Diceros bicornis minor: one gene and its partners. The protein of the gene in region 1 purifies or fractionates together with the protein of each later gene. This does not show direct contact. Links are inferred from orthologs where the notes say so. Each region holds a gene or a part of one and is shown in the gene's direction. Other genes may lie near its edges.

Region 1 (7,323 bases):
TTAACTTCAGTGGGGAAATCTGAAAGCCTTCAAGGAAGCAATGTCTTAAATATAAATGGACTTTCCATAGGCTGTGATGAGTGAAACAGGATATTCGCTCATCATGAGAAAGGTCCACTTGAGCAAAGATATAAAAAGGGATAGCGTGTTTGGGGAAGGGCATGTAATTTGATATGATTGAGGGGCTGAGAGGCGAGTCTCATGGTAGGCAAGCTTTGAAAAGCAGGTTAAGAACAGTCTTGGAATGCCAAGGTAAGGAATTTGGGCTTTACCCTGGGGCCAGGGTGGAGCATATGCAAATCTGTGTTTTGGGAAGATAATAAGCAGCCCCAGGAGGAATGGATGGGAACAGAAAGGTCAGTTTGGAGGTGGATGGAATTGTCCAGAGAAGAGATCCTGCTGGCATTACCTAGGAAGCAGGAGCTGGTGTAGAAAGGAGGGGGTGAATATGAGTGACATGACGAAGATGGAATCAAGACTTAGTGATGTCCCATTGCGTGTGTAAGATGACTGTTGGAGGTGTCTATGGACTGTGCAGGGCATCGGAAAGGAAGCAATGGCAATTGAAAGAGAGGTCAGGGTTGGAGGTAACAGATTGGGGGATTGTCCGTAAAAAGGTGTTACAACACATAAAGTAAAAAGGTGTTACAAACATAAAGGCGTTGCACTTCCCTATGGAGACAGAGTGTCTCAACCTCGGCACTATTGAAATTTTGGTCTATACAATTCTCTGTTGTGGAGAGGGCTGTCCTTTGCATTGTAGGAAGTTTAGCATCCTTGGCATCTACCCACTAGATGCCAGTAGTACACTCCGCTAGTTGTGACAACCAAAAATGTCTCCAGACGTTGTCAAATGTTCCCTTGAGGGCAAAATCAACCCGGTAGAGAACAGTTGCTCTAGGAGAGAGTATGGAGTCAGCAGAGAAGATGGCCAAGGGCAGAACCTTTGTGTTCTAAGAACACAGTCAGAAAGGAAGAGAACGCATTGGGAGAGATGTGGGGTGACTGTGTCACAGATGGGGTGGCCAGTTGTGTGACAGTCTACAAAGAGGGATTTGGAGATAAAAGAGGCCTTGGCAGTGGTGAGAGCGTTATGATTCTTCAGGAAGCAATTCCAGTTGAGCCTCCTGACTGTGCCTTTTCCTTGTTCTATAGCCTTTTCCCTGAGAGGTACAGGAGTAAACTGCCCACTTGGGCCATAAATAAGAAGACTGGGATATATACCACTGTACCCCAAAGTTTGCCTGGTTGCTTTGCAGGCTGTTAATTTTCTTCTTCCCTTATTTTCTCATTCCATTTTCTCTATTAGTCTCCTTTTTCATCTGTAAAGTGATTTAGCAGAAATATAGAAATATACACCTATATCATTTAATCCTAATAATAACCTTGCAAAGCATCTTTCATTCTTTTTTTTTTTGGTGAGGAAGATCGGCTCTGAGCTAACATCTGTGCCCGTCTTCCTCTATTTTGTATGTGGGACGCCACCACAGCGTGGCCTGATGAGTGGTGCATCGGTCCATGTCTGAGATTCGAACCTGCAAACCCCAGGCCGCCAAAGTGGAGTGCACAACCTTAACCACTAAGCCACCAGCCCCTTTCATTCTTTTTTTTTTTTTTTTTTTGTGAGGAAGATCAGCCCTGAGCTAACATCTGCCAATCCTCCTCTTTTTTGCTGAGGAAGACTGACCCTGAGCTAATATCTGTGCCCATCTTCCTCCACTTTACATAGGACACTGCCACAGCATGGCTTAGACAAGCAGTGCGTCGGTGCGCGCCCGGGATCCGAACCCCGGGCTGCCGCAGCAGAGCATGTGCACTTAACCGCTATGCCACCGGGCCAGCCCCTGCTCCTCTTTCATTCTTATTCCCATTTTGCAGATGGGGAAACTGAAGCTCCCAGAGGGAAGTGGCTTGCCCAAGACCACACAGCCAGGGAGTAATAGAGCTGATAAGCAGATCTTCTGATCACACAGGGACTGAGAACACTCTCCATCACGCTATGGTGGCTTCTTTGGCTGCAACTCCTACCACCTAGCATCTTTTCGTTACAACTACTGACACTCCATTTCTCCTGAGATAGAGCCTTCATTGACTGTAGAGGAATCAATGACTTTCATTTCTCTTCTTGTACTCTGCCCACAGGACTGTTTCTGCTCATAGCAGAAATGTTGTTCGGTGTCTCACTGAATGTCTTACCTTGTGAGGGTGTTAGCAAGATGGTCTTCTGACAAAGGGTAACATTATAATGTTTGCGCAGGTGAGGCCAAGCCTGCAGGGATTCTGCATGGTGAAGATGAAGGTGAAGAAGTTGCAGGCCCAACTGTGGGCACTTGGGAATCTCCCTGATGGTTGCTGGGTCTAGGCCAAGGGTCAGCTCCCTCAGGGACACCAATGTATGTCCAAGGCTGGCAGTTGCATGTCAGACCATAGTAACTCCTCAACCAGATTCCCACCCTGGGGTTCCTCTTCCATTTCTTCCTGTTCCCCTCAGTCCTCCTACTCTGGTCCTTTGTTCTTGGTACCTCTCATGTTCCCCTATCCACCACCTTACTTAGCATCTGGAATTCTTAATAATAGTAATCACAACAGCCACCATTTACTGAGGGAGTTTTAAGTGTCAGGCACAGACAGGGAGGTAACTGAGGCTTAGAGTGTTACGTAAGTCCATCCAAGGTCACAGAAATATTAAGGCAGATCAGCGTGTCTAAAGAAGTATAGAAATATAATTTGAGGGGCTGGCGAGGTGGCATAGTGGTTAAGTTGGCATGCTCCGCTTCAGTGGCCCAGGGTTCACAGGTTCGAGTCCTGGGTGCAGACCGACGCACCACTCATCAAGCTGTGCTGTGGCGGCGTCTCACATACGAAAAGAGCAAAATAGGCGTGGATGTTAGCTCAGGGCCAGTCTTCCTCACCAAAAAAAAAAAAAAAAAAGAAAAGAAATATAATTTGAGTCACATTTGTAATTTAAATTTTTCTACTACCCAAATTAAAAGAGAAAAGAAACAGGTGAAATTAATTTTATCAACTTTTTAAATTTAACCCAATATATCCAAAACATTATTTCAACAAGTCATGTAAAATTATGAATGGGATATTTACATTCTTTTTTACATAATAAATCTTTGAAATCCGGTTGTGTATTTTACTCTTATGTCACATCTCAATTCAGACTAGCCACATTTCAAGTGCTCAACAGCCACATGTGGTCAGTGGCTGCTGTATTGGACGGTGCAAGGATAGATCAAGGATTCAGACCTACCTCCACTTGGCCATGTTGTAGCCTTTCTAAGGATGGTGAGGATTGGGGCAGCCACATTCTCTGTGAAAGCAGGCTGGTACTGTCCACCAAAATTCAGGTCTGCAAAATATAATCATCTAATTTTATTAGACCTTTTAAAAAATGTCTAATTTGTGAGGGAAGCTGACATCTCCCCCTTGGAACTGGGATGGGACAGGAATGTTTGTTCCCTTCTGCACGTCTCTGTTACTGTTCTTCTGTCTTGATAAACACCATCCAGGAAGAGTGGATTTTCTCTGGCCTGGAGCCCGGTTGGTGGAAAAATCCTTTGCCCTGGGCCTCCTCTCTGGTTTATAGGGCAGTCCTCTGACCATTTCTGACTGGGCTCACCAACTCCCATGGTGGCCCCTGAAGGGAAATGCAGGATTGTTGAATTCTGGAAGGAAAGGAGCCATTATTTCCCAATTTGCACAGTGGACAGTCCTTCGGTCCAGGCACTGTGCTAGGCACATTACATGTGCTACCCTTTTACTGCTCACCACCACCCTCTGAGGTCAGCATCAGCACCTGCAAAACCCCAGAGAGGTGAAGAGATTCACTGGGGTCACGCAGCTAGTAACCCAGAGCTATCTGATGCCAGAGCCCAGGATCACAGCATTCCATTTGGGGGTTTTAGTGCTTTCTGTCCACCCATGGACATGGGAACAAGGGTTGTCCAGCAAAAAATGTTCATATCTGCATTCTGTTTCCATGTGAACTAGGCCTGGCAGGGTGCTTATGATTGATTTCCGTCTCTAAGAATTGGACTCAGATATTCAGGACATAAAAAAAGGAGATGGCTGCCCTTTCTATATCAGGAGGCCCAGCCTCAGGAAACCTAGGAGGGCTGCTTGATTTCTCTTGTTCCTGACGAGTTAAAAGACCTTTGTTGCCGGGGAGCCCTGTTGCTTTAAGCCTAAGCCCTGGTTTGGGAGGAGACTAGAAGGGCAGTGGAGGGTGTCCGCCTACCTAGGGGAACCTGTGTGAGGTGTGGCTGGAGCAGGCTCAGGATGAGAGGTGGACGGGGGCGGGCTGAAAGTTGGAGCAAGCAGGAAGTGAACCAAGGGCCGCCCCAGGAGGAAACAGACTAGGCAAGTTCTGCCGCTGACGGGCCCCAGCTGCTCGGAGACATGGTGAGTGAGCTGGGAACTAGAAAGGGGCTGATTTAAAGATGAGCCAGAGGGGGCTGGGGGCTGGGGATCGGGAAAGGAGAGTTGGTGGCAATGTCAGAGGGTTGGGCCAGCACTGACTGTGGCCTCTCTTCTTAGACAGCTTGGCTGCAAATAGCTCTGAGCTGCACGGGCGGGTGTTCCTCCTCCTTCTATACTCCCTCCCCTGACCTCAGTGCTGGCCTGGAGCAGTGCTTCGGTGGGTGGGCGTGGGGGATCCGAATTCCAGGCAGAGAGTTGCTGAGCAAGCGGCCCTTCCTTCATCTTCTCCTCCAGCCTGCCGGCCGACCGGCCTGCTGTTGTGACACTCCTGGGCAGCGCCTCTGCTGTTCCCAGTGCAGATTCCAGCCCAGCGGCGGGAGCTCTTCCCCTCTGCCTTTCACTTTATCCCTGTACAGAAACTCCCAAAATTTGTCTCTCCACAAGTCCAAGGAATTGGCTCCCCCCCATAAACATGAGGAAGAGAGCTAAGGGTTTGTAAAAGAACCAGAAATTGGTTCTTTGCGATAATCTAATTTGGCCCACACCCCTGGCCTGTTTCTGGAGGTCCTGTGGGTCAGAGAGGGAGGAGCTTGATAACGTTTTGCCTCCTTCTTTAAAAACCTTATCATGAAGCCTGAGGATGAGGCCTCAGCCAGGGAAGACTTGCCCTGTATTTCCCCCAGTGCCCAGGCTGCTGCTTTTATTTAATATCTGCTTCAGCAGCAGTGGCGTGGTGCCTGCGCATGGTGCTAGGTGGTGGGGAAAGCAGAAGTTTGTGGCCCAACGGCTCTCTCTCTTGGGGCCTTGTGAGGGACTTGGAGCCTAGTCGCTGTTGGCCTGGGTCACAGCAATTAGGCTGCCCAGGAGGCCCGAGGCAGAGCTGCTCTCCAGCTGCTTTCTTGGAAAGAGGGAGAGTTGGGCTAGGTGAGGGAATTCTGCTGGCCCCACAGACATTTTTAATAAGGAACCTGTGGGATCTGGGAATTGGTAAATGGTGGCGGGGTTTTGCATCGTGAGATGCCAGCTCAGCTGTCTGCTCTGACCCTCTCCGAGGAGCAAAGAAGCAGTGGAGAGGGTCTCAGTGGTGTGCTTCTTTTCCTTGTCAGGGACCCTGAGAACCCAAAAAGAAGTTTGAGCTAGTCTGTCTAGCAACAGCTCTCATCCTCTGGGGCTTAAAAATGCATTTATTTTTGATTACATGAGTGAGACGTGAAAACATTCTCTTTGTAAACAGTTCAAGCTTTACAGAACACTAAAGTCCATGTTAAGTCTTCCCCTCCTCTAGCCTCTGAGGCTATCAGTTCCTCCACCACTTGGCCCAATTAACCCCTGTGTTGCTGCCCAGGAGGAAGGCAGTGGAGGCGATGGAAATGATCATGTGCGGAACCTGCGGAGTGAGGTGGAGGGAGTCAAGAATATTATGACCCAGAATGTGGAGCGGATCCTGGCCCGAGGAGAAAACTTGGACCATCTCCGCCACAAGACAGAAGATCTGGAAGCCACAGTGAGATGGGGAGCTCACTGGGGGCTAGAAAAAGAGAGTGCGGGAGGGTCGTTGGGGGTTTAGGGATTGGTGGTGTTGGGGGCAAAATGAGCAGGAGGGAAGTCTGCCTTTTCACCTGTTTTGGGAATTGAAGTGAGCTGAGTCCCCACTTCTGATTCTACTCTACTCCACTGATTGGCACTGGGGTCCAGGGAATGTGTACAATGACTGTGGTTGGGGGGTAGGGCCTGACCCCTGGAGGTATTTTCTGAGACAGATGGCTCAGTCAGCCCGTGCATTCTTGGGCTTCTCTCCTGTGAAACCGATTTTCCCTTTGAAGGCTGCCCTTGACAACCATTTGGACCTGACCTCCCAGGGCAAAAATATTGGCTTTGGTGGGGCTGGCCCGGTGGCATAGTAGTTAAGTTTGTGCACTCTGCTTCAGCAGCCTGGGGTTCACAGGTTCAGATCCTGGGTGCGGACCTACACACTGCTCATCACGCCATGCTGTGGTGGCATCCCACATACAAAATAGAGGCAGAGGGGGCCGGCCCCATGGCTCAGTGGTTAAGCGCGTGTGCTCCGCTACTGGCTGTCTGGGTTTGGATCCCGGGCGCACACCGATGCACCACTTCTCCGGCCATGCTGAGGCCGCGTCCCACATACAGCAACTAGAAGGATGTGCAGCTATGACATACCACTATCTACTGGGGCTTTGGGGAGAAAAAGGGAAAAAAAGGAGGAGGATTGGCAATAGATGTTAGCCCAGAGCTGGTCTTCCTCAGCAAAAAGAGGAGGATTGGCATGGATGTTAGCTCAGGGCTGATCTTCCTCACGAATAAATAAATAAATAAAAACCAAAATAGAGGCAGATTGGCACAGGTGTTAACTCTGTGACAATCTTCCTCAAGCAAAAAGAGGAAGATTGGCAACAGATGTTAGCCTAGGGCCACTCTTCCTCACCAAAAAAAAATATGTATTGGCTCTGGAAAATCATCCTAGGGCCTTTGGCTTGCTCCAGAAGTTGTTAGGTAGGCTAGGGGTGGAAAGGTGTTAGAGTCTTGCTGAGCCGGCTGGAGAAAGCGCTGGAAATCACAAAGGCTAGGTGAAAGCCTTTGATCCGGGGCCCACTGCTAGGTGAAGGCTAGAATATGCCCCACACATCTTGCTAGATCTCAGTTTTCTCTCTCTCCAGCCAGCGGCTCAGGAAGGGAGTAACTCTAAAGTTCAACAAAAGCTCGAGCCTAAGGTTCCAGGTTCACGGCAAGAGTCTAGCTATGGCTTTCTGGGTCCTGTGTAATCTTGGATAGAGCTCCTTTTTCTCCCTGGGACTTAGTATTTCTTCCCACAACCTAACCTGGGAAGCATGGCCCAGGGAAACTTAATTTCTGCCACTCCAGTTGGGAGAGGAA
Region 2 (7,427 bases), on another chromosome or scaffold:
TACTCCAGTCAATTGAAGAATGTGACTGTTGTGTCAATACCAAACTCTTAATGACTATAGCTTTATAAAATGTTTTCATAAGCAACACTACTATATCTGGTTTGCTTAAATAATAAATTCCTGTCAAAATACAATGCCTAGAAGAGTCAAGTGCAGTTACATATTTACACCCTCATTAAAATTCATAAACTATCATGTAACTCTACAATGAGTTTTAGCAGCACAATGATAAAAAAGGCTTTGCTTTTGCTTCTAATTTGTTTCTGTGTGAAAGCAAAACTCAATTACCTTGCGTTTAAGGCCTCCACAATCTAATCTCAGGCTCTCTTTGCTGTGTTATCTGGTCAGTCCTTGATACTTAAGCCACACCAGGCTTTTTGCTATTCCCCAACCAGGCACCACACTCTCCACCTTCCTCCTTTGCTCACCCTATTCCTGCTATCTGGAATATTCTGCCTCTCAGTCTTTACTCACTGACTCCTACTCAACTTTAAAGACTATTTGAATTAACTCCTCCTTGACTTCACTCAAGCCTAGAATAGAATCTTTCTCCCAAGCTTTCATAAAGCTTTGCTTATTTGTTTTTGAGAGGTAGTATAGACTTTTTAAGTAAACAGTTTTCATTGAAGACAAAAATACAGAAAACTCAATAACTTTACCAAGTAAATACACCTATTTAACTATAGCCCAAGTCAAGGAGTAGATTATTACCACCCCCCAGACGTCCCCCATGTGCCTTCTCCCAGTCTACATCTCCCCAAAGGTAATCACTGTTTTGATTTCTATTCCTGTAAATTAATTTTCCTCATTTTAGAACTTTAAATGAATGGAATTATACAGTATGTATTCTTTTTCTTCTGGCTTTTTTCATTCAACATTATGATTGTGAGCTCTATCCATGTTGTGTGTAGCTGTAGTTAATTCTTTTTCATTGCTGCAGAGTAGTCTGTTGTATGAATAGACCACAATTTATTTGTCCTTTCTACTTTTCTTTTTTTTTTTTTTTTTGTGAGGAGATCAGCCCTGAGCTAACATCCGCCAATCCTCCTCTTTTTTTTTTGCTGAGGAAGACGGCCCTGGGCTAACATCGGTGCCCATCTTCCTCCACCTTATATGGGACGCCGCCACAGCATGGCTTACCAAGCAGTGCGTCGGTGCGCGCCCGGGATCCGAACCAGTGAACCCCGGGCCGCCGCAGCGGAGCGCGCGCACTTAACCGCTTGCGCCACCGGGCCGGCCCCTGTCCTTTCTACTTTTTTTTTTTTTTTTTTTTTTTGTGAGGAGATCAGCCCTGAGCTAACATCCGCCAATCCTCCTCTTTTTTTGCTGAGGAAGACGGCCCTGGGCTAACATCGGTGCCTATCTTCCTCCACTTTATATGGGACGCCGCCACAGCATGGCTTACCAAGCAGTACTTCGGTGCGCGCCCGGGATCCGAACCAGCGAACCCCGGGCCGCCGCAGCGGAGCGCGCGCACCCAACCGCTTGCGCCACTGGGCCGGCCCCCCTTTCTACTTTTGATGGACATTTTCATTGTAGTTTTTAGCTATTTGAAATTATGCTACTATAAATATTCCCATATATTTTTTTTTTGGTACACATTTCTGTTGTGTATAATATGGCCTTTGGAGGATACATCAAAAGTCTTTAAGATGTACTCAGAATTTGACCTAAGGAAAAAAGGTAGAGTTAAAAGATTTAGCTGTGCAGATGTTCTTTGTAGCATTTAAAAATAAATGGAAAAAATGGAAATTATCCTAAATGCTTAATAACAGGGCATTGTTTAAATAAATTATGACATCTGTGCAACAGAATATCATATTAAAATATATTAAAAATTATGGGACAGAGTATATTTACTGCCAAGGAAAGATTTACATGACATACTGTTAAGTGGAAAAAAAGTTCGATTACAAGATAATATATACAGCATAAGTTTGTTTTTATTAAAAAAATATATTTATATGTAAGTGTATATTTGAAAGGATCACACCAAAAGTTTAACTGTGATATCTTTGGGAAATGTAATGATGGCTGATTTTTCTTTTGGTTTCACTGTATTTTTTCAATTTTCTAAACTCCTCTTCTTAAGTATGGCTATGGATTTATCCCTGTATTCACAGTGCATAGCATACTACTTGGCATATAGTGGTTCTAAATAAATGTATATTTGATTATACAAAAGAATATAAATTGTCACAAAATGAAGGTAAAAACAATTCAATTTGGGCCATTCTAAAAGGCCAAGATGGGCCGGCCCCATGGCTTAGCGGTTAAGTGCACACACTCCGCTGCTGGCGGCCCGGGTTTGAATCCCGGGCGCGTACTGACTCACTGCTTCTCTGGCCATGCTGAGGCCGCGTCCCACATACAGCAAGACGTGCAGCTATGACATACAACTATCTACTGGGGCTTTGGGGGAAAAAATAAATAAATAAAGTTAAAAAAATAAAAAATAAAGGCGTATGCTTTTAAAAAAAATAATAAAAGGCCAAGATAAGTAGTAATTGTCAAGGAAGACATCCGGATGGAAGTGACCACATATTTACTCTCAGAGCTCCACCAAACAGCATGAATTCAGTCGCAGAGCTCTATGCGGGAGCCTTTACACTAGTCCCCAGCGTGGCCCTTTGCACTAACTGCACTCAGATCCTTTACCAACGATCTTGTAACCGGCTCTAAAGGTGGCTGATCTCTCAGATGTACTAAGTGCCCACTGTCAATTAGAGACATCAAGGTAAAATGAAGAGCCAAGTCCTAGAATGTGCTTAAAATTTGTCATTGATTGTTCTGTATCTACATTATTACAATTTTAAAGCTTTCAGGCATCACAATGTACTTTTAAAAAAAGGTTTGCTTTTTCTAAAATGTAACCAATTGCTTGTTTTCATCCTTCACAAAAAGCCAAACAGCATTTTCCCCCTTAACGTTCAAAACCACAAGCAGTCATAAATAAGATTTGAGCAGATCCGCCAGGCATCCTCTGACCAAAGTATCTCTCTCCTCCAGCTCCCCCTGGCGTCCTCTTCGCCTTCTATCGTGGTCTGAAATGCTCACCATTAGAATCCTTCCTTCGGTTTAGAGGACAAGATTACCCTCTAAAGCGGTCCCTCCCCAGCCCTTTCTCAGTACATCAGCTGGGATTTTAGAAGTTAGTTGGTCCCGGGGGCCGACACGGACTCTGTAATCCGGTGGTTACGGAAGGGCAGGCAGCTTTGCGGGCTGCATGGGGCTTAGAGCCAGGGAGGGCTGACCTAGTGGGAGAAGGGTTACAACTATCCTTTCTTTCTGGCCCGGCGAAGAGGAATTTGGTTTCTTTTAGGTGACGGCAAAAACCATCCCCCTTCTTGAGGCTTGGAGCAAGGAAGTGACTCTCTATGGCCTTTGGACAGGAGAGGCTGGCTGGGGCCCTGGCGGTTGGCCCTGGCCAGGGCTCATGCCAGGGTCTCACACTGCCTTCCAGGTGCCACCTGGTGTCTCACTGTTCCTGTTGGCACTACACGTCCCCGGGTTTGCTAAACCACCCAGTCCAGACATGCTCGAGGCCTCACCGTTGAAGCCAATCACAGCCTCAAGCTCCAGCTCCGCCACCTCGGCTTTGGGCGAAATTTGGTTCTCCATCACCCGGACACTCGGCTCACTTTCCTCCCAGCCTCCGACGATGGAGCGTCTTTTGGTCGTTATGGTAACAGACGTACGCATGCGCGCCAGATCCCCGCCCGCGCTGAAACCCATTCTGCGGAGTTGGTCTTTTACTCTCTCGGAAACGAGAAGAGGGCTTCTTTTTCCTTTCTATCGCTCTGGAAATTTAGGGGGCACTAAATGCACAGAACTAATTCCCTCCTCCCTAAATAAAGAGTCTGTGACCTTTTTGGTACCTATATAATCAAGCACCTAATGGCATCTAAAAATTAATCAAACATGGTGGATTGCCTTTGATGGGAAGGCTGCTATAAAATAGTATGTAATTGCTACTTCTTTGGGTCCCTTGTTCGAAGCAGGATAAAACAAATTTTTTAAAGCTTTATTGAGGTATAATTTACATATCATAAAATTCACTTAAAGTGAGTTTTAGTAAATTTATACATTTGTACATCTATGACAACCAGTTTTTTGTTTGTTTATTTTTGTTATTGTTTCAAGCAGGAGAAAATTTTAAGTAACTGCTAGAGGTCTTGAGGCGCTCCCCCGTTTCCGGGAAAATGCTTAGATTTTGTTCAACAACAATTTTATTTTAATTGCGCCCAGCTGTTGGCATCTCGGCGGGAGCAGAATGCTCCAACCTACTGTTCCCTGGGTCAGCGCTTTCCTTTCTTCATCAGAGCTTTGAGGCCCTAGTGTAGATTCCCTTCGCAAACTCCAGGTTTCGGTCGCGCACGGGTGGAACCGCGGAGTATGAGCCGCGCGAGCCGCCGTAGTCAGCTGCTGCGAGCAGGAAGTGTCCGAGGAGCGGGCGGAGACTGCACAATGGCCCCGGACCCCTGGTGAGCCCCGGGTGGGGGCGGCCGCGCGGAGAGTCTGTGGGGGGAGGCCGGGCTTCTGGGGAGCGGGCGACCGCTAGGCGTTCGGTCTGGAGGTCATTCGGGATGAGAGGAGGGGCAGCGAGGACCCTTCCTCAGCTGAGGGGGACTCTGCCGCATTCTGCCACCCTCGGTCCTTGCGGGGTGGCCCAGGAGGGAGACCGAGTAGACCCGTGGGGAGCTGAGGAATGGTGTCGAATCTCTGAACATTCCTTTAGCCCTTCCCGGCTGCACCTTGCCGCGGAGATTTCCCGCCCATCCTGGTTGTGGAGCTGGCGGTGCAGGCTTCCCTGGACTCCTGTGAAAGGGAAGTCGAAGTAACCTTTTTGTGCAGTGCCAGTCCATCTGGGGAACCCCCTTATTTCACAGGTGGAGAAACGGAGGTTCAGAATCCCTGGTCACCAGCCAGTTAGTAACCAGTTGGCGCTAGGACCTAGAACTTGTGGGCCCTTCAAAAAACTTCTAGGAATATCAGAGGGAAATTATGCATTTGTTTTTAAGGCATTTTACCGTTATCTGAGTCAGTATCATGAGGACTGTTTCTATGGCAGCAACTTTTGCAGTAAAACAGTAGCTGATAGCGGTCCTTTATTCATCAGTTAAGTCCCAGGGACTGAGTGATGACAGACACTGTCTGTCATAATTAAAAACATATTCTAGCTCTGTAAAGTTCTTGTACTATATGCCTCATGTTGGTACTTCTCATATAGTTTATAATTGTTTAAGTGGCAGACAGTCTGGATAGTAGGAGAATGGATTGCAAGATCAAAGTTAGCACCCCTGGGATTTAGGTTATCTGGGCAGGTAGCTTACTTCATTTAACACTAATTTTTTTCCACCTTATTTTAACACCCTGATGGAAAATTTAGAAAATACTGAATATTTGCAGAGAAAACAATAAATTTAACTCAGTCATTTGGAATAATAGCCATTATTGATTTTTTTAAATGAACTTATTGCTTTATATATGTGTGTGTATATGTATATAAACACTCATATGTTTTACAAAACAGGGAACATTTCTCCCTATCACTAAATATTCACTCTAAACATTATTTTTTATAGTGCATCATATGAATGACCATAATTTAATTATTCCCCGCTTTGTACCTTTTTTTAATATTAGGGATTTGTTTATGTTTTTTTAATATTGCAGAGATTGCCCCTTTGTTTTGTGTCTTATTTCCTTGGCTCACTTCTTAGAAGTGGAACTCTTGGGCCCAAGGGTATGAACATTTTTAAGGCCCTGGATACATGTTGCTAAGTTGCCCTCCACCTCCTGGAAGCTAACTCCCTCACTTTACACATAAGGTAGGAAATAAAGCTCAGAAATAAGTTAGAGGCCCCAGGTTATCCATATAGCTTGGCAGAAGCTATCACTGGACCCCAGGCCTCTTCCACAGTGAGTTTTGAAAAGGCATTTATAATTTTTCCTGTTACTCTCAAGTAGTTTGAATTAGTGGCTTTCTCATTTGTTGAAAGTGAAACAGTGGGGGAACTCTGCTGTGCTAGCGTCAGCTTCTTTGCCAAGTAGGTTGCTGATCAGCAGGGTAGAAAGGAGTATGGAATGGGACTTGGAAAAACCTATAGAAACAGACTTGACTACAGCTTTGCCTTCCTGCTGTTGAAAATCATCGGTCAATGATGCTTTACTCCTGTGTAGTGTTCTAAAGTTGAGAAGTGAAATGTAGCAGTTACTATTTTAATGGCATATCAAAGCAAGTAGTAAGCTCACTGTTTAATAGAAGTAGCGAGTAATTACTGTCTAAACTGGTTCTTTGCTCAAGTTAATCAGCTTTACTGCTAGGGCAACTTATTTGTTGATGATACACCATTTCTGGAAAAATTATATTCTAGTTGGCTTTTTTTTGGTCTATTATTTAAAAGTTTTGTTATGAAAGATAAAAAATATATGTGGAATAGTATAATGAGCCCCTTTATACTCATCACTCAATTTCTGTAATTATCAATATTCTGCCATTCTTGTTTCATCTCTGCTCTCCACACTTTTTTTTTTCCTGTGTCTTTTAAAGTAAATCTTATACATATATCAATTTAACTGTATATTCAGTGCTTTTCTGATAGAACAGAGGCCCAGTTCTTAGTCTAGAAACTTCTTTTAGTTTCCCCATTCTAGTTCCTTGGTCTCTGTCATGGCATCACCATCCTCTTAGTCACTTAGGCCTGAAAACACTAATTACCCACTTTTCCTTCACTCCTCATATCAGATTTTTCACTAATGCCCTTTTTTTTTTTTTTTAAGTATCTCTTGACATCTTTTTTTTGCTGTCTTTTTCTGCCATAGTTCAATCCTTTATAGCCCTATGCCTTGCAGATAGTAAATACTGGTGACTGGTTATAGAATTGAATAGCTGGAGAAGTCATCTACTGATCTCTTGCCACTCTTCTCTCCTTCCCAACTGTTTACCTAAATGGAGTTCAGGTTAATTTTCCTAAACTAGTACTTTAGGCACTGTGTTCTTGATACCTTGATGAAGTTGCCCGTTAACACTTGGCCAGTGGTTCCCAAACTTCGCTACAGATTGGAATTACCTGGGGAGCTTTCCCAACTCCTCATGTCCAGGTCAAACCCCATACCAATTTAATCAGAATGCTTGGGGGTGGGAGCCAGGAATTGTGTTTGTTTTTGTTTTGTAGTGATTCCCCAGTTATTCCAGAATGTAGCAAGGTTTCAGAACCACTTTTTTAGGGCTAAAGTGAGAACATGAGGATCAGTGGCAAGACACCTGAGATTTTGCCCGTCAGCATATCACCTCTTCAAGGCCTCACTTTATGCTCTACATACAGCTCTAAAATTCTCTTATAAGTCTAATCTTATTAGGTTGGTGTTTAAGGCTCTGCAGAAACTAGCTTCGACTCATCTTTACCATTTTATGCTTTACCCTC
Region 3 (7,529 bases), on another chromosome or scaffold:
CACTTCTCACTGAGCCATTCCTGGTCCCAGAACCAAGTCGGCTAGCACCCACCATTATTCCTTGCTTCTCTTCTACAGTAGTCTTCAAACTACATGTGCTCTAACCTAGATCTACAACAATCACAATTCACAGTTTTTCCTTTCTAAATATGTTCCTTTTAATCAAAGCAATTGGTTCCAAACTAACCTGATCAGACTCCTTCACACTTTCTACCTCCTTCCAAGCCACTGTGAAGTTCTCTTCAAAAACCATCTAGTAAGTACCTTTAAAGGCTGCTACCACTTTCTAGACTCAATAGTTCTCTACAAACTGTAATTGGAATGCAGTTGCTTCTCAGCAGAAGTGCTTGAAATATCTAACTTGGTGTAGCAGCAAAAAGATTAGCTTTGGCACTGTATGTGCATTTCACTACTTAACCCTAGCTAAACTAGCTTAAGCAAATTACCATCAAACTCTCAGCGACCTCATCTAAAATGTGCTCCAAAAAACCGCCTTCCGTTACAATATCTCATTAATTTTTTGTGACAGACCTGAGTGTATCTGTGGTAGGTGAAGTAGGTGCTAAATAAATCCTAGTTGAATCTAAATATTATCTTCCATTATTTGATTCACGACTAAAGTTGAGAAAGAGCTTAAAACTAATTATAAGATTTCCTAAAGGGTTTAGCACAGTACTAAGCTCTTAGTAAGTGCTCCAAAGTTATTCTGGCTTGAGTAAATTCGATATAAACCATTATGGTGGATAAAGCACTCTCTTGGTAGGTAAGAGAAGAACTTCCCTTAACCAGGATGGCAGTCCCAAATTGCTAAGAGTCATGGAAATCTCAAACTTCCCAACAAGATAGCTTAATCTCAAAAGATGGTTCTGACTCTCAAAGATAATTAAATCGAGCAGATTGAAGGGGGAGTGGGGTGCAAAGCATTTCCTCTCCATAATTATGCACCCAGATTCGGACTAAATACTAAATTGACACATAGTAAGCGCTCCATAATTAACAGCTATTATTAAGACGCATCCCATAAGGAGAGAAGACGGAAGAAGGAAAAAGAACGGAGGCTGTAAGTCACAAGTGGTCGAAAGGTGTTCCTGGCCGGAGACCCGTAGGCCTTTAAGCACCCTGACTCTATGGGCTCCCTGCGGCACCAAAGGCCGAAGGAGGTCAGCGGCCTCCCCTAAAGGTCAAGGCTCTGCCGCCACGTTTCCGGCTGGGAGCAGAGCCGGAACGCCCCCGCGAGAATCTGTACCGCGAAGCCAAAAGCACCGCCTGCCCGTAAACCCGCGCGGCTCGGGGAGAGGGGACGACCGGGTTGCCCCTGCACCGCGGCCTGCAGGAGCAGAGATCCGGCCGCGTCCTGCAGCCCCAAACCTCCCTAAGGGGCAGACCACCAGGACCCTCGGGCTCCGATACGCCTCAACGCAGCTCGGCCCCTCGATACTCACACTCACAGGCGACCCCTCTTACTCCATCAGGCCGCCGAGGCCCAGACGAGGGAGCTCCCTGACGCCCCAGACGCCCCCTCGGTTTGGGGCCCGGCGGCCCGCTCCGAACCGGCTCCCCTCCGGGCTCCGCTGCCGCCGCCGCCGCCAGCGCGCAAGCGCACACCGCCGCCGTAGAGCTCCCCTCTCTTTTTTTTTTTCCTTTGAGGTCCGCCTTTCTCAATAATCTAGCTTTATTTGAACTCACGAAAGTGAACAACGGACACAGGGGGAAAAGGGTTTATGTACTCTAAAAGAATGGGAGAAGACAAAAGGCAGGCAGGCTTGCGAAGTTAGTCCGCTGCGCTGCACGCTCCTGTGAGCAGCCTCCCGGTTCCTTCTTCATTCTCTTTCTCTTTCCGGGCCTCGCTCTTGCTCTTAGTCTCTTCCTGTCTCCACCATTCCCTTTAGGCGGTGGCAACTGTTGCCGCTACATTGCCAACCACTCCTTCCTTCTAAAATTTACTGAAGCTTAATGGAAGGTGCAAGAGCTTTAGAACACACAGACCTGAGTTCCAATTTTTTTGACCTGGATACTAGTACTTTGTGACTTTGTGTAAATTACAAATTTTCTTGGAACCTCACTTTCCTCAGAGTTAAAATTAGGATATCTCTCAAGGTGTTGCTAGGATTAAATGACATAACATAGGTCAAGTGCCTATCCATAATGGTGCCTATCAAAGAGCAGATAATCCATTAATACTAATAATTACATTCTTATTAATACTTAATGTATTTATATTATATTAATTATTAATATTAATTTATCTTAATTATATATATTAAACTTAGCCCATACCCATTCTCTCGGGATCTTATTTTAGTGACTAAAACTAGTGAGATAAACCAAATTACATTAAGGTTGATAATTTGTGAAGTGTTACTCCTCCTATATTGTTGAACTTCTAATAATATCTATGTTTAACAAGACCTTCAATGCCTCAGATCAAAGTAAGCAGCTCCCTTCATCTCTGTGTAAATCCAGATTTGCTTCTAGAGGATTGAGGAACTATTCCCATTCTGTGTTTGTGACATCACAAGTCCTTGAAACACTCAAGGTCTGAGGTATGCTGCTCATTCTACTCTCCTTTAAAGGCAAGCAATGGAAGAACTGCTTTACCCTATAAGCTCTGGACCATAGTCCAACGAAAAGCTTGTAGAAGACCAAGGTCAGCTGTTGGTGAGCGTCAAGGTAATCCTAGATCATGATTTCTCAACCTTGCCTTGGCACTATTGACATTTTGGAGATAGTTCCTGTGCTCTCCTGTGCATTTTAGGCTATTTATCAGCATCCCTGGACACCAGATGCCTGTAGTGCCCCCTTACATCCCCACCCACCCACCATCTTGATAATCAAAATGTCTCCAGACATTGCCAAATGTCTTCTGGAGACCAAAAAAGGAAAATGTCCCTGGTTGAGAACCATGGCATTATGCCAGTGACCATCCCAACGCTAAATGAACTCAACCATACATTTTCTCCACTTCTACCTCAAGAAGTGATTACTGCTTGAGAAATCTATGCAGGAGGGCAGAAACTGGTGAGTTCATTTTTACCAATCTTATACAGGCCCTCAACATGGCTTACCAGTTCTACTACTTTCCTCTGGTCAATTTGCTCTATCACTTTCTACAACATTCCAAATCTTCTCCACTTTCTTAAAATTCCCAACTCCTTTTCTATCAGCAGATGACCTCATCTCCTACTTCACAGAGAAAACAGAGGTGATCAGATGAGAACTTCTTTAACTTTCTGTTACTAAACATACAAACTTACAGACACATACTTCCTCTCATTATAATTGAGAAGATCTCTCTTCTAAGACTGTCCCCCCATCAGTGCTCTGGATTGCCTCCATTCTTACCCTCTGAAGATCTTTACCTACTAACTAGCACTTCTCTTTATTCAACTGTTTTTTCTCAGTTGCATATTCCCTATCATGCTTAAGTTTCTCCTGCCTTAATTCTAACAAAAAATCCAAGAAATAGAAACAAAAAACTTTGACCCCTTGTCATCCCTTTCCCTCCTACCCTCAAGGCCAAACTTTCCAAAAGCTTTCTACAACCTGTCCCCATTTCTGTATCTCCTCTCTCTCCAAACTACTGCAATCTATTTTTCAACTTCATCCCAACAGATAGCTTTCGCTAAGATCACTAATGATCTCTGTGTTACTAAATTCAAAAGATATTTCTCAGGCTTCATCTTCCTTGACCCCTTAGGAATAGAATATTCCCTCTTTAAAGCATTTTTCCCCCCCAGCACTGTGCTTTATTTTTAGAGGTGCCTGGAAGAGTTCCCAGACCTGCTTAAAACCCTTCAGTAGCTCTCAGTGATCACAGTATAAAGTGCAGGGTCACTAGTCCAAAAATGCAAGACCTCCCAAGATCTGGCAATTGCCAACTTTTTAAAGCTTATTCCCCCTTCACCTGGAGATATACGATGAGCTCTAAACCTCTAACCAGGATGAACTACAAGTAATTTCCAGAAGGCGCTATGTTCTTCTTGGCATACGCTGTTCTCACAGTCTGGAAAATAGTCTCTCTCCCTCCCGGACTTCCGGGGGAACTCCTACTTATCCTTCATGACTCAAAAGTCATTTCCCCCGGGAACCCATCCAGCCACCCCTAAGAATAAGGCACTGTGTTCACTGTGCGCCAGCGGCGCCTCGGATTTTCTATATGCCATGCACTATATTCTATCCACTATAATTTATTTACATATCTATCTCCCAGTCTAGACAGATCAAAAGACCCTAGAGGGCAGGGAAGGCATTCTATTCGCTTTCTTTTCCTCAGTGTTCATCCCGCACAGTGCCTGGCGGTTTGCCCTCAGTACGGTACATGTAAATGTTTGTTGCTTGAACACTTCCCACCTACAAGCGGGACTCGAATTATCCGGTTAACGGGTGAGTCCCCAGGCTCCTCGCCTGCGTGGCAGGGAGATTTAAACCCCCCGCACCGTGATTGGCTCCAGCTGCAGGGGTGTGGCCGCACCCGCGGCGCCGGGGAAGTGCGCAGGCGTGTGAGGCCGGCGTGCGCAGGCGCAAGAAGGGGCAGGTCCCAGTCCAGTCTGGGGGTGTCCGAGCTGCCGAGGCCGCAGAGGAGTGGCCGAACTGCGTGGTGAGTCTCCAGGAGTGGGGCTGAGGGAGCTGGCCGAGGTGAAGGTTGGGATCGTATCCGAAGGAGAAAGAGTATATCATGACGGTTGAAAAGTTGGTAGGATCGGGCTTTAGGGGAGGAGCGGGGCTGTGGCTCGGACTGGGCAGGTCGGGCCCGGAGCGAGGACGCGAGGCGCCAGGAGACTGTCGAGAGGCCGGCACAGGCAGGGTGGCGGGATGGTGGTTCTCTGGACCCTTTCTTGAAACCGAGCGGAGGTAAACTCTCACTCCCTCACCCCCGACCTCCACAGGTTTGCTGTGGTCGGGATTAATAGACTGTATGGTGACCACAGTGATCAGATAACTGTGAATTAGTTGTCTGAAGAAGATCTCTGAGGTTCATGGCATTGGCGAGTCCATGCTTTCTAGGAAAGTACAATCTTACCTGTTTTACTTGGTTCTCTCACGTTCTTCCGTAGCCTGGAAAATACCACACTTGAAATGCATGAGGCATCATTAGCTAGAATACTCTGAGATCTAATCTTAAAATGTCTCATAGTAAAATTTTTAAAAATTAATATTTTTGCCACCAGCAAAGTTGATGCCTAAGGCATTCAGTGATCCTTGTCATTTGTTCCTTTGGCAAGAGGTAATGAAAAAGACCGCATTCGTATAAATACTAGCAAATATTAGGAGAAACAGGAGAAACACCTCACATTACCATTCTCTTTTGACAGGTCATGTGAAAGTAAATAAAATGATCATATAACTTAGCCTACAGCTTAAATATTTATCATTGTTGCTAGGGCTTTTTTTTTTTTTAAGTGCTTGTGGTATGTGGATATGCACTAGAAAGTTGCTGTTATCTTAGTTCCAGAATAGGACTGACTTATTGTGCTATTATTTTCTTAACCTTATTACACTGTTTCCTATGAACAGTAGAATATCTGTATGGATCTTAGCCTTTGTTTCTTTTACTCTAAAAGAACTTAAGTATACTAACAAGCTCACTTAACTAAAGGTCACATTTTTTCTAATCATTCAGAACACAAGCTTAAATCAAGAAGAAAGCAAACAAACAACAAAACAGGCCCTGTTGCTCGTGGAACAGCTGTCAGTACTTCATTTATCATGAACCATACCACCATCATAAATTTTGCCTTTTAGAGGATCGTCTGTGTTATTTTACTTCGTATTTTTAATAGACTTTTTTTGAACATTACCCTCTTCCAAAGTGATAATCTACGAAATCCTGGTCTTGTATTTTATAATACTTTCTAGTTTTGTGTATTTTATAATATTTTTTCTAGTACACATTATAATAAATACATAACTATTAAGTACATAACTATTGCTTATATAACAGCTAAAATCATCTCTTGTTGTTGCTCTGCCCTTTGGAAAATACTGTTTTGGGTCTAATCTACTCATTTTTAAAATGAAGTAAAGATTGGACTGCCTAAACTCTAAGAACTTCAAAATTCTGTGAGCCCTGTGATGGCATTCATTATTGTTAACGCAGTTCTAGCAAACTTACTTATCTGGTTTTACCAAATGAAAGTAGATTGTAATAGCAAAAGAGAAAAAGAGGATGTTTGCTCTTTGACATTTTTGTGAAATCAGCTGCCTTTCATTTTTTTTTCTTCTGAATTAAGGCATTTTCTTTTCCTTCTTTGGTTCCTATGTCCTAAACATTCTGGAAATCTGTTTTTAGGTGTATTTGTACTCTGCATTGTATGTGTTAGTTAGCATTTATAATATATGATGTTGCTTGCATTCAAGAATGCTGAACTTTTTATTCCAGTGCCATGTTTTGTTTCCAGGTCTGTAGATTGACAGAGGAGTTGATGACAAGGACTGGTCTTTTCTTTGTCATGGTGGGTAGAGGCTTGAAACAGATGGATCCAGTGCCTCCAACAATTGGAGGAAGTGGATTGTGGAGCCAGGAAACAGCATGTACTGTTCTTTTTGTGGTATTGGGGTTGGAGGTGAGGTTCTGTTTGCACTCATTTAAATTCACTGACAGTTTGATTTTGATTCAATTTAGGTTTTATTGCAACTAAAATATTTAAATCACTGATCTCTATATTTTTCTGAAATTCCCTCATCTTGTTGATTTTTGTGAGTTCTGTAACTTGGATTTAAAGTTTGTTTTAAATTTATTTTAACAATGTTTTGACAACTGAGATTTCCTTTAGATGGCCTCATGATGCTTATAAAATAAAATCCACACTTCTTGGTATAGTGTACAAAGCCCTTCACAACCTGTCTCCTGTCTGCCTTTTAAAGCAACCCTGCCCCCTCTATATACATGCACACACATACACACGTTATATTCCTGCATGACTACTGAGGCCTTACATTGTGACACTTCTTTGATAGTCTAAAATCACAATTTTTGTTTTGTTTTGTTTTTTGGTGAGGAAGGTTAGCCCTGAACTAACATCTGTTGCCAATCCTCCTCTTTTTGCTGAGGAAGATTGGCCCTGGGCTAACATCCATGCCCGTCTTCCTCAACTTTATATGTGGGACGACTGCCACAGCGTGGCTTGATAAGCGGAACGTAGGTCCGTGTCTGGGATCCAAACCCCAGGCCACCAAAGCGGAGCGTGCGAACTTAACCACTGCGCCACTGGGCCAGCCCCTAAAAATCGCAGTTTTTAAAAAAATTGATCTTGCTTGGATTTTGATTCCCAAGTCAAAAACATGAGAGATATTTAATAATTATTGTGAAAAATTATAATAGCTTTATTGAGCACTGTGTGCCAGCCAGAGTTCTAAATGCTTTGCATGAATTAGCTCAATCCTTGTAACAGCACTTGAAGTAAGCACTATATCCTTATTTAATGAGAAAACTGAAGCACAGAGAAGTTAAGTAATCAGTAGTCAGGATTTGAAACCATTATGCCTCCAAATATTGGGCACTTAACCACTACACTGTATTGCCTTTTGTA
Region 4 (7,168 bases), on another chromosome or scaffold:
AACAGCCAGTGAGGAACTGAGGCCCTCAGTCCAACAGCACTTGAGGACTGAATCCTGCCAACAACCACGTGAGTGACCTTGGAAGCAGATCCTTCCCTAGTCAAGCCATGAAATGAGACTGTCCCAGCCAACACCTTAATTGCAGTCTTGTGAGAGATCTTGAACTAGAGGCACCCAGCTAAGCTGCACCTGGATTCCTGGATCACAGAAACTATAGGATAATAAATGTTTGTTGTTTCATGCTGCTAGGTTTTAGGGCAATTTGTTACGCAGCAATAAATAATTATTACAAACTTTAAGAGGGGGAAAACTACAAGTCAGGAAGTTTATTCTTCATCCTGGTTATTCTCCATCCTCCCTGCAGTGGGGAAGAATTGCTGTGGGGGGACAGAAAGGATCTTCCCTCCAATTCTCTAGCTCCGCTTATCTCTTTCTACTGAACACCACATCCTAAGGACAGTGCTTCAAACGTACACCAGACAGAAAGTGGTCTCGCCTGTTCCACAGCAGGCCCTGGAGGTCCAGATGAGGTGAGGCTCAGTCCTTTTCTCCAGTGGGGAAGAAATAGGCTTAGAGGAAGGAGAGAGAGGGAAGTGGAGCCCCCAAATCCCAAGATTCTCTCTTTGGTTTGTTTGTAAAGGTGAAATTAAGTGTTGGCTGATTTATTTATAACCAAAATGCAAACACTTGAACTAATCCTGACTATGTTTAATGGGAAAACAGGCTGAACTAAGATCTAGTGTGTGGAAAAGCAAGTACTACTGTGGGGCAGAAAAATGAAAATACATCAGAGAGAAGGGGCTCCTACTGATCCTGGAACCTTAAGTCACTGTCCACCTACATGGAGACCCCATAGTCCACCTGGGTTCAATATCAGAGTCTTCCTCACCAGCCATGGACTCCCTTTGCCCACGTCCCTTGTCCCACAGTAACTTGACTTTCTTCAGTATATTGTACTGGATCCAGTACTGGATCCAGACTTCTGCCTGTCAGGAATGAGCAAATATTAATATATTAGTATCAACGACATAGGATTCATACCTAATAGGAGTTTTAAAGAAGGCTTGAAGTCTATAATAACCACCATCAAAAGAATGCCAGAATAAAAGAACTCTGCTGATCTTCCCTTCCTGGGGTCCTGGATCCAGCTGCAGTTGAAAGAGTTCTTTATCCTGTTTTCAACGTTTAAAAAGTTTAAGGGAATCATGTAGTCATTTCTGTTATTGCCACATAGGCTAATCAAAAGGCCATTTTTTTTCTTCATAGAAACATCTTCTCATAGGAAACCAAATTTCTTTTTTGTTTCTCAGTTTTATTGAGATGCAATTGACATAAAACATTGTATTAGTTTAAGGTATACAATGTAATGATTTGATATATATATATAGTGAAATGATTGCCACAATAAGTTTAGTTAACCTTCATCTTAACCTTCATCGCCTCACATAGTTACAAATTTTTTTTCTTGTGATGAGAACTTTTAAGACCTACTTTCTTAGCAACTTTCAAATATACAATACGGTACTGTTAACTATAGTCATCATGCTGTAGAATACATCCCCAGATATTTGTACCTGTTGACCACCTTCACTGGTTTTGCCCTCACCCCCCTTTCCCACCTCTGGCAATCACCAGTCTGTTCTCTGTATCTATGAGTTTGAGGAAACCAAATTTCTTATTACCCAGTAAATATATTCTGTTAGGGATATGGAATCTTTCAAAACAAGAGATCCACGAATGAAAATAAAGGATACGTGATATTCTTGATCTCGAAAAGTCTGTGAATCATTAGTTTTAATCAGCTTCCTTATCTGAAAGATGAGAAAATAGATTGTGTGAGGTTAAGTGACAGCCGGTTTGTGGCAGAAACTCTGCTTCTAGAACTCAGGTCTCCTGGCTATGTGTCCAGCAATTGTTCTGCTGCCCCATAACAACTCTCCCTTCATGGAAAGCCCATCTTGTGAAGGACAGATTAAATTTCTTACATGTTTAGACAGGGGCAAGAAGCAAGAAATAGCGGTGGAAGTTACAAAGAGGAAAATTTTTGTTCTGTTTAACAAAAAACTTTTTAACAACAGTTGGAACTGTTCAACCAGGGAAGGAGCTTCCTTAAGAGTGTTTGGAAAAACTGTGAAAAAATTAAAATGGCAAAAAAAAAAAAAGGAAGATGAGTGGGTGTCTATGGCATGCTAGGCTTTGTCTAACGCACCTTTCTGGGTTATCTGATTTTATAACGGTCTGTGCCTTTGATGGTCTTGTAGCTATTTTTACAATTCTGTAAATTGTAGAAAACTGATAGTAATGCAAATGATTCTTGTTCATAGAGATGCAAATGAAATTTTCCTGGTGGAGCTGCAATTCATCTTCCCTGACACCCAGAAGCTAGTTTTACATTTATTAACACATTCATTTCAGAATTCCTGGTTGCTTATATAAATGTATCTGCTCTTTGGGGTCTCCTCTGAACCCAAAAGAGGATTCCCTAGTTACTTAATGAGTTAAATAAAATCTTTGATGTGTGCTCATTTTATAGTTGTATGAGAGTCATGATTTTATCCTTTTAAAAACAATTATCTTTTGCCGGGAGGCCTAGGGTGTTTCTGCCCTGGATGTGTTCAGACAGAGGCTGAATGGTCATCCTTGATCCTTAGTACAGACTCCTATGGTTCTTTTCAGACCTGTAATGTAAAGAATTGTTCACATATCTGTCTCCCTAAGGAGAATCTCTTTTCCTGAAGCGCGAGGACCTAGCTATCCCCACTAACTAAAATTTGTTAAGGGAAGGAGGTGGGATGTGCGATTTCTGATTTACTCACCTTTTCCATTTAGGACCACCAGGGGGCGGAGTAGCCTTCCTTCCCTTTACTAAGGACGGGAGACTCCACCTAGTGCGCGCCTGGGGTAGAAGGAAGCCTCCAGGACTAAAGAGAGAGGATCAGGGCTGAGAAGGGCAGGGTTCCACCTTCCCGATCGCGTACAGACGGTGTCTTTATGGGAGGCAATGAAGTCAGCATGGAGCAGGCACTCAGATCGCAGAAGAGGGCAAAGTTCTGTTAGAATTATGAAAATATTTACAGTCCTGTGACCTGAATGCATAGAGCACCTTCTCTTCCTGACTTGAGAATTGACGGCCGCATATGTCTGCTGGATATGTCATTTGTTCCCAAGAAGGAAGGCAAACAAGGAAGAGGGAAGAGAGGGTAGGGGTGGGGAGAGGAGAGGGGATAAACAGGGAGGGGCAGTGCGAAGAACCCGCCCACCTTTTCAGAGGGTACACCCACCTGGGATCTTGACACCACGTAGGAAATGAGAATGGCTTACGCTTTCCAATACAAACATCTATCTCACAACGCTGCTCTATAGGTGACGAATCAGTCACCCCTCCTCTGTCACCCAGGCCTCACAGCAAACTGTGAATTGGGTGTTATCTCTGATTTATTGATATGGAAACGGAGTCCTCTAGAGAAACAGCGCCTTTCCCAAAGTTATACAAATTGCTATTGGCAGGTGTTCTGACTTCAACACTGAACTGCTCGCATTTCTCTGCGGAGTCCCGATTGCCAACATGATGAAATCCAAATGCTTCGTCCCAGCCCGTCCCGTCCCACCTCATCTCTGGTTATTTCCTCTAGGAACGTCCTCTTTCAGATCCAATATGCAGTCCCCCACACTGTTCAAACTCCGTGACTTGGAATGCCCTTCCTCCAGGCGGAATTAGTTGCTTTTTCTCCCACCTATTATAGCACAAAACACACCGTCTTAGAGTTCTTTGTTTAGCAACGAATGAGTCTGTTGAGGCTGGATCCGAGCACGGAGCCTGGCACAGGTAGTGAATTGCTGTCGAATAGAAAGGATGGAATTGAGGTCAAACAGACCCCCTCGCTCTTCCTCGGCCCTGCGGCGGCATCTACCAGTGCCGGACCCTCTCCGCGGATTTCTCTGGTCCCTCGAGGGACCCGGGCTAGGGGAGGTGGAGGGAGGGCCGCCGAGGGCGGCGGGGCGCGGGCCCTTTAAGGAGGAGCGCGGGGCGCGGCCCAGGTGAGGGGCGGGTCTGCGGGCGGATCAGCGCTGCGCGCCGGCGCCGGCCCGGGAGGCGGATTCGGAGCGCGCGGCGCCGGCGGGGCCGGAGGGGGCGGCGCGGCGGAGCTTCTCGCGGCCTGGGACGCTCCTCCTCGCCGGCGGCCGCCGCCCTCCTCTGCCTGCGCCTCCAGCTCGCTCGCCCTGGCCGGGCCCGGCTGCGTCTTCCGGCCGCTCACCTGGGACGCGCTCACCTGGGCGCCGGGGCAGCAGGATGAAGGACCGGCTGGAGCAGCTGAAAGCCGTGAGTCCGCCGCCCCCGGGGCCGGGTCCCGCCGGGGGTGCAGCTGCGCGGGAGAGGGGCTTCCCTACCTTCGCCAGATCGGCGCTGGAGCGGGGCCGAGCGCGAGGCCTGCCCTCCCCAAGCCCCAGCGGCATCCCGCGCGCGTTCCGCAGCCTCCCCTCCCCTCTGGGGTCGTGTGCCGGGTGATTCCTGGCTAGGCTGCGATTTCCCTGGATGACAGCGTCTGTCCAGAGCTGGGGTCCGCGCGGGGTGCTTGGGCCTAGCGGAGCTTTCTGTGGGGTCAGGGGTCACCTCAGCCCTTACCCACTGCAGCCTGGCACTGTGCCCAGGACCAGCCTTCTATCTCCTTCCTTGTCTCCCGAGCCGGCTGCCCTCTCCCCCGGAAAGCTCCTGGGTGACCTCCGGAGCTGTGAGCTGGTCACGTGCCAGGATGGTGCAGCTCCTCGCCATCCGGCAGTCTATAATTATTAATTTCTCCTGAATCCTCAGGACAGCTGGATAGGGCAAAGGATCTGAAGGTAGACCGCCTCCAGCCCTGCCGCACAAAAGCTGTAAATCCTTAGGCTGCTTATTCTTTTGAGCCTCTGTTTCCTTATCTGTCAAATGGGGATGATCATACCTTAGAGATTTGTTATGAGATCAAATGACATAATAACCCTCGATATAGAAAAGTGTCAAACGTGAGTTTTTGAGTTAGATATTCATTGACTCATTCAACAAATAATTATTGAGTGCTGTCTAGGGGGCAGGCCCTGTGCTAAGCCCTGGGGATTGGGTGACACAGGCTCTGTCTTAATGGAATGTAAAATCTAGCTCTTGATACAAAGTCTTCCATCTACTTGGGAGCTTGGTAGAAATGTAGAAGCTTAGACCCCAGTCTGGACCTACAGAATTAGAATCTGATTATTCACAAATCTCCCCAGTGATTCGTGAGCATTTTGGGAAGCAGGGGGCTGGATAGAACTGGGGTTGCCTCCTGGCTCCACTGCTAACTAGCTCTCCTTTAACCTCTGAGTCTAAGTTTTCTCATCTTTACAATGCGTGGTTGTGAGGACTAAAAGCAAGAGAGCGTGCAGAGCCCTTTGGATGGTGCATGACACATATAGGGCGAATAGATGGTAAATATTATGCTGAGAACTGTAAAAGCTCCTTGGAAAAATACAGGCCTCATATGAGTGTGAGGGACTCCTGGGATGATGTCGCAATTGTTTTTCTTTCTCCTCCCTCGTCTTGGGCGAGACCTTCATGACCCTTTCACCTGCTCTGGGTAGTAGGGCGATGGGGAAGTGAGAGAAGCAAAGGGACAGTTGCTGATTGTGGGGTGAGCCTCCCTGCCTCCTACATGTCATCTGAGCCTCACAACATCCCGGTTACGGGGCAGAATTTATGGCCCCTATTTTTCTAGATGAGGAAACCAGAGCTAAGCCTGGGTAGGCAGGATGCTGCGGGTCACAGAGCTGGTCAGGTCACAAGCAGGGGAGGAACCCAGACTCCTAACACTCTTCATGGTGCTCTTTCCCTGTAGCATGCTGGTTGGGGAGGCAGAAAGGAAAGAGGACCATGGCTTTTGAAGATCTTCCCTTATCAGCACACGCAGCAGTCATAAAACAATGCAAAACTGAACAGCAGGCAGAGGCGGCTCCCTTCCTTTAGTTAGGAAATCCATAGAGGAGGATACTCCACGGCCCCTTTCAAAAGCCCATTGTCAACAAACAGCAAAGAGTCTTCTCTGAGCTTTGGGTTCCAAGTATAAATTCAGGTTGCCAGGGAACCCAGGCAGTCCCTTTGCTTCTCCGAGCCTCATTCACCCGCTGTAAAACTGAGCTAATGCTCTGTTTCCTCCCTGCACCTCTTGGCGATGTGGTGAAAGTGAGACTATAGACGGTGCTGTTATTATGGGGGTGCTGTTCTCAAGTCATGGGTGCTGCTCTAGCGTTTTGGAGCAGGGAGATGGGTGTTGACACTGTGCAAAGAGGACTGGGCTGCAGGTTGAAAGGGTTCTAATTGTGGCTCTGCCACTTAATAGCTGTGTTGTTTTGTGTCACTTTACTTCTCTGCTTCTCTATTCCCCCTTTGCAAAACCAAGAGTTGGGTTGATCTCAGAAGCCCCTCCTGGCAATATTAAAATATTAATGTTTTCCAAGAAGACTGTTGTTAAGGTTTATATACATTTTGGTTTCTAGTTCACCTTCTGCCCCTTTCCTCTGGCCCCCAGGAGAGAGATCGCCCTCACTACAACAAGATTACTATCTTCTCTCTTTGATTCCTTTTATCAACGAAAGGCAAGGCGTTTGTTAACAAGGCTTTTGTTAACTCGCATCAAACTGATTTTACATTGAGCAGCCTGTGCAATCTCTTTCTGTGGGATCTTTCTAAACCCTGGGGGAGGGGAGGTGATAACTACCTCCAGATAGCTGGAGGGCTGTCATGCGCAGGAGATTAGCTTTGCTCTGTGTGGATACAAGGAGAAGATGTGAAGTTGATGGGTAGAAATTAGGACTCTGTGGAAAGCATTTTTACTGGTCAGAGCTGCCCGAGGATGGGATGGGCTGGCTGGAAGGGTCGTAGTCCCTCAAGTCTGGGAGGGAGGCAAGAAGCTTGCTGGGATGTTGAATGTTGTAGGAATTTGAGCATCTCTTTGAGGGAGGGGAGGTGACCAAGGAGATTTAAGGCCTCCATCATCCCTGAGGATGTGTGGTTCTCTAAAATTCTTCATTGTTTGTGACCTTATCCTAAGCACTGTGAGACTGTGGCGTCCATAGGACTGAGGTCTTAGAGTTGCACCTGTAAAGTGGATCATCATACCCCCCCCCGTAGGGTCATTGTGAGGGTGATGATCACCCACCA

What was found.
Region 2: the proteins of VAMP8 (region 1) and STX8 purify together in Homo sapiens (co-immunoprecipitation; 5 studies listed by BioGRID and IntAct, with this or other methods). This does not show direct contact. The link is inferred for Diceros bicornis minor from reciprocal best matches to the Homo sapiens genes VAMP8 and STX8.
Region 3: the proteins of VAMP8 (region 1) and SNAP23 purify together in Homo sapiens (affinity purification with western blotting; 3 studies listed by BioGRID and IntAct, with this or other methods). This does not show direct contact. The link is inferred for Diceros bicornis minor from reciprocal best matches to the Homo sapiens genes VAMP8 and SNAP23.
Region 4: the proteins of VAMP8 (region 1) and STX3 purify together in Homo sapiens (affinity purification with mass spectrometry; 4 studies listed by BioGRID and IntAct, counting the BioPlex papers as one, with this or other methods). This does not show direct contact. The link is inferred for Diceros bicornis minor from reciprocal best matches to the Homo sapiens genes VAMP8 and STX3.

The regions. Positions count from the first base shown.
Region 1 is NC_080751.1:4,416,356-4,423,678, reverse strand, and holds the start of VAMP8 (vesicle-associated membrane protein 8), read left to right. Parts: upstream 1-4,307; 5' UTR 4,308-4,407; coding exon 4,408-4,410; intron 4,411-5,773; coding exon 5,774-5,932; intron 5,933-7,323. UniProt on the Homo sapiens protein: SNAREs, soluble N-ethylmaleimide-sensitive factor-attachment protein receptors, are essential proteins for fusion of cellular membranes.
Region 2 is NC_080757.1:9,074,366-9,081,792, forward strand, and holds the start of STX8 (syntaxin-8), read left to right. Parts: upstream 1-4,414; 5' UTR 4,415-4,467; coding exon 4,468-4,484; intron 4,485-7,427. Other genes in the region: CFAP52 (cilia- and flagella-associated protein 52), read right to left, coding at 3,552-3,621. UniProt on the Homo sapiens protein: Vesicle trafficking protein that functions in the early secretory pathway, possibly by mediating retrograde transport from cis-Golgi membranes to the ER.
Region 3 is NC_080744.1:40,079,859-40,087,387, forward strand, and holds the start of SNAP23 (synaptosomal-associated protein 23), read left to right. Parts: upstream 1-4,511; 5' UTR 4,512-4,597; intron 4,598-6,398; exon of another isoform or gene 6,399-6,563; intron 6,564-7,529. UniProt on the Homo sapiens protein: Essential component of the high affinity receptor for the general membrane fusion machinery and an important regulator of transport vesicle docking and fusion.
Region 4 is NC_080770.1:13,470,605-13,477,772, reverse strand, and holds the start of STX3 (syntaxin-3), read left to right. Parts: upstream 1-4,149; 5' UTR 4,150-4,291; coding exon 4,292-4,321; intron 4,322-7,168. UniProt on the Homo sapiens protein: Potentially involved in docking of synaptic vesicles at presynaptic active zones. Apical receptor involved in membrane fusion of apical vesicles.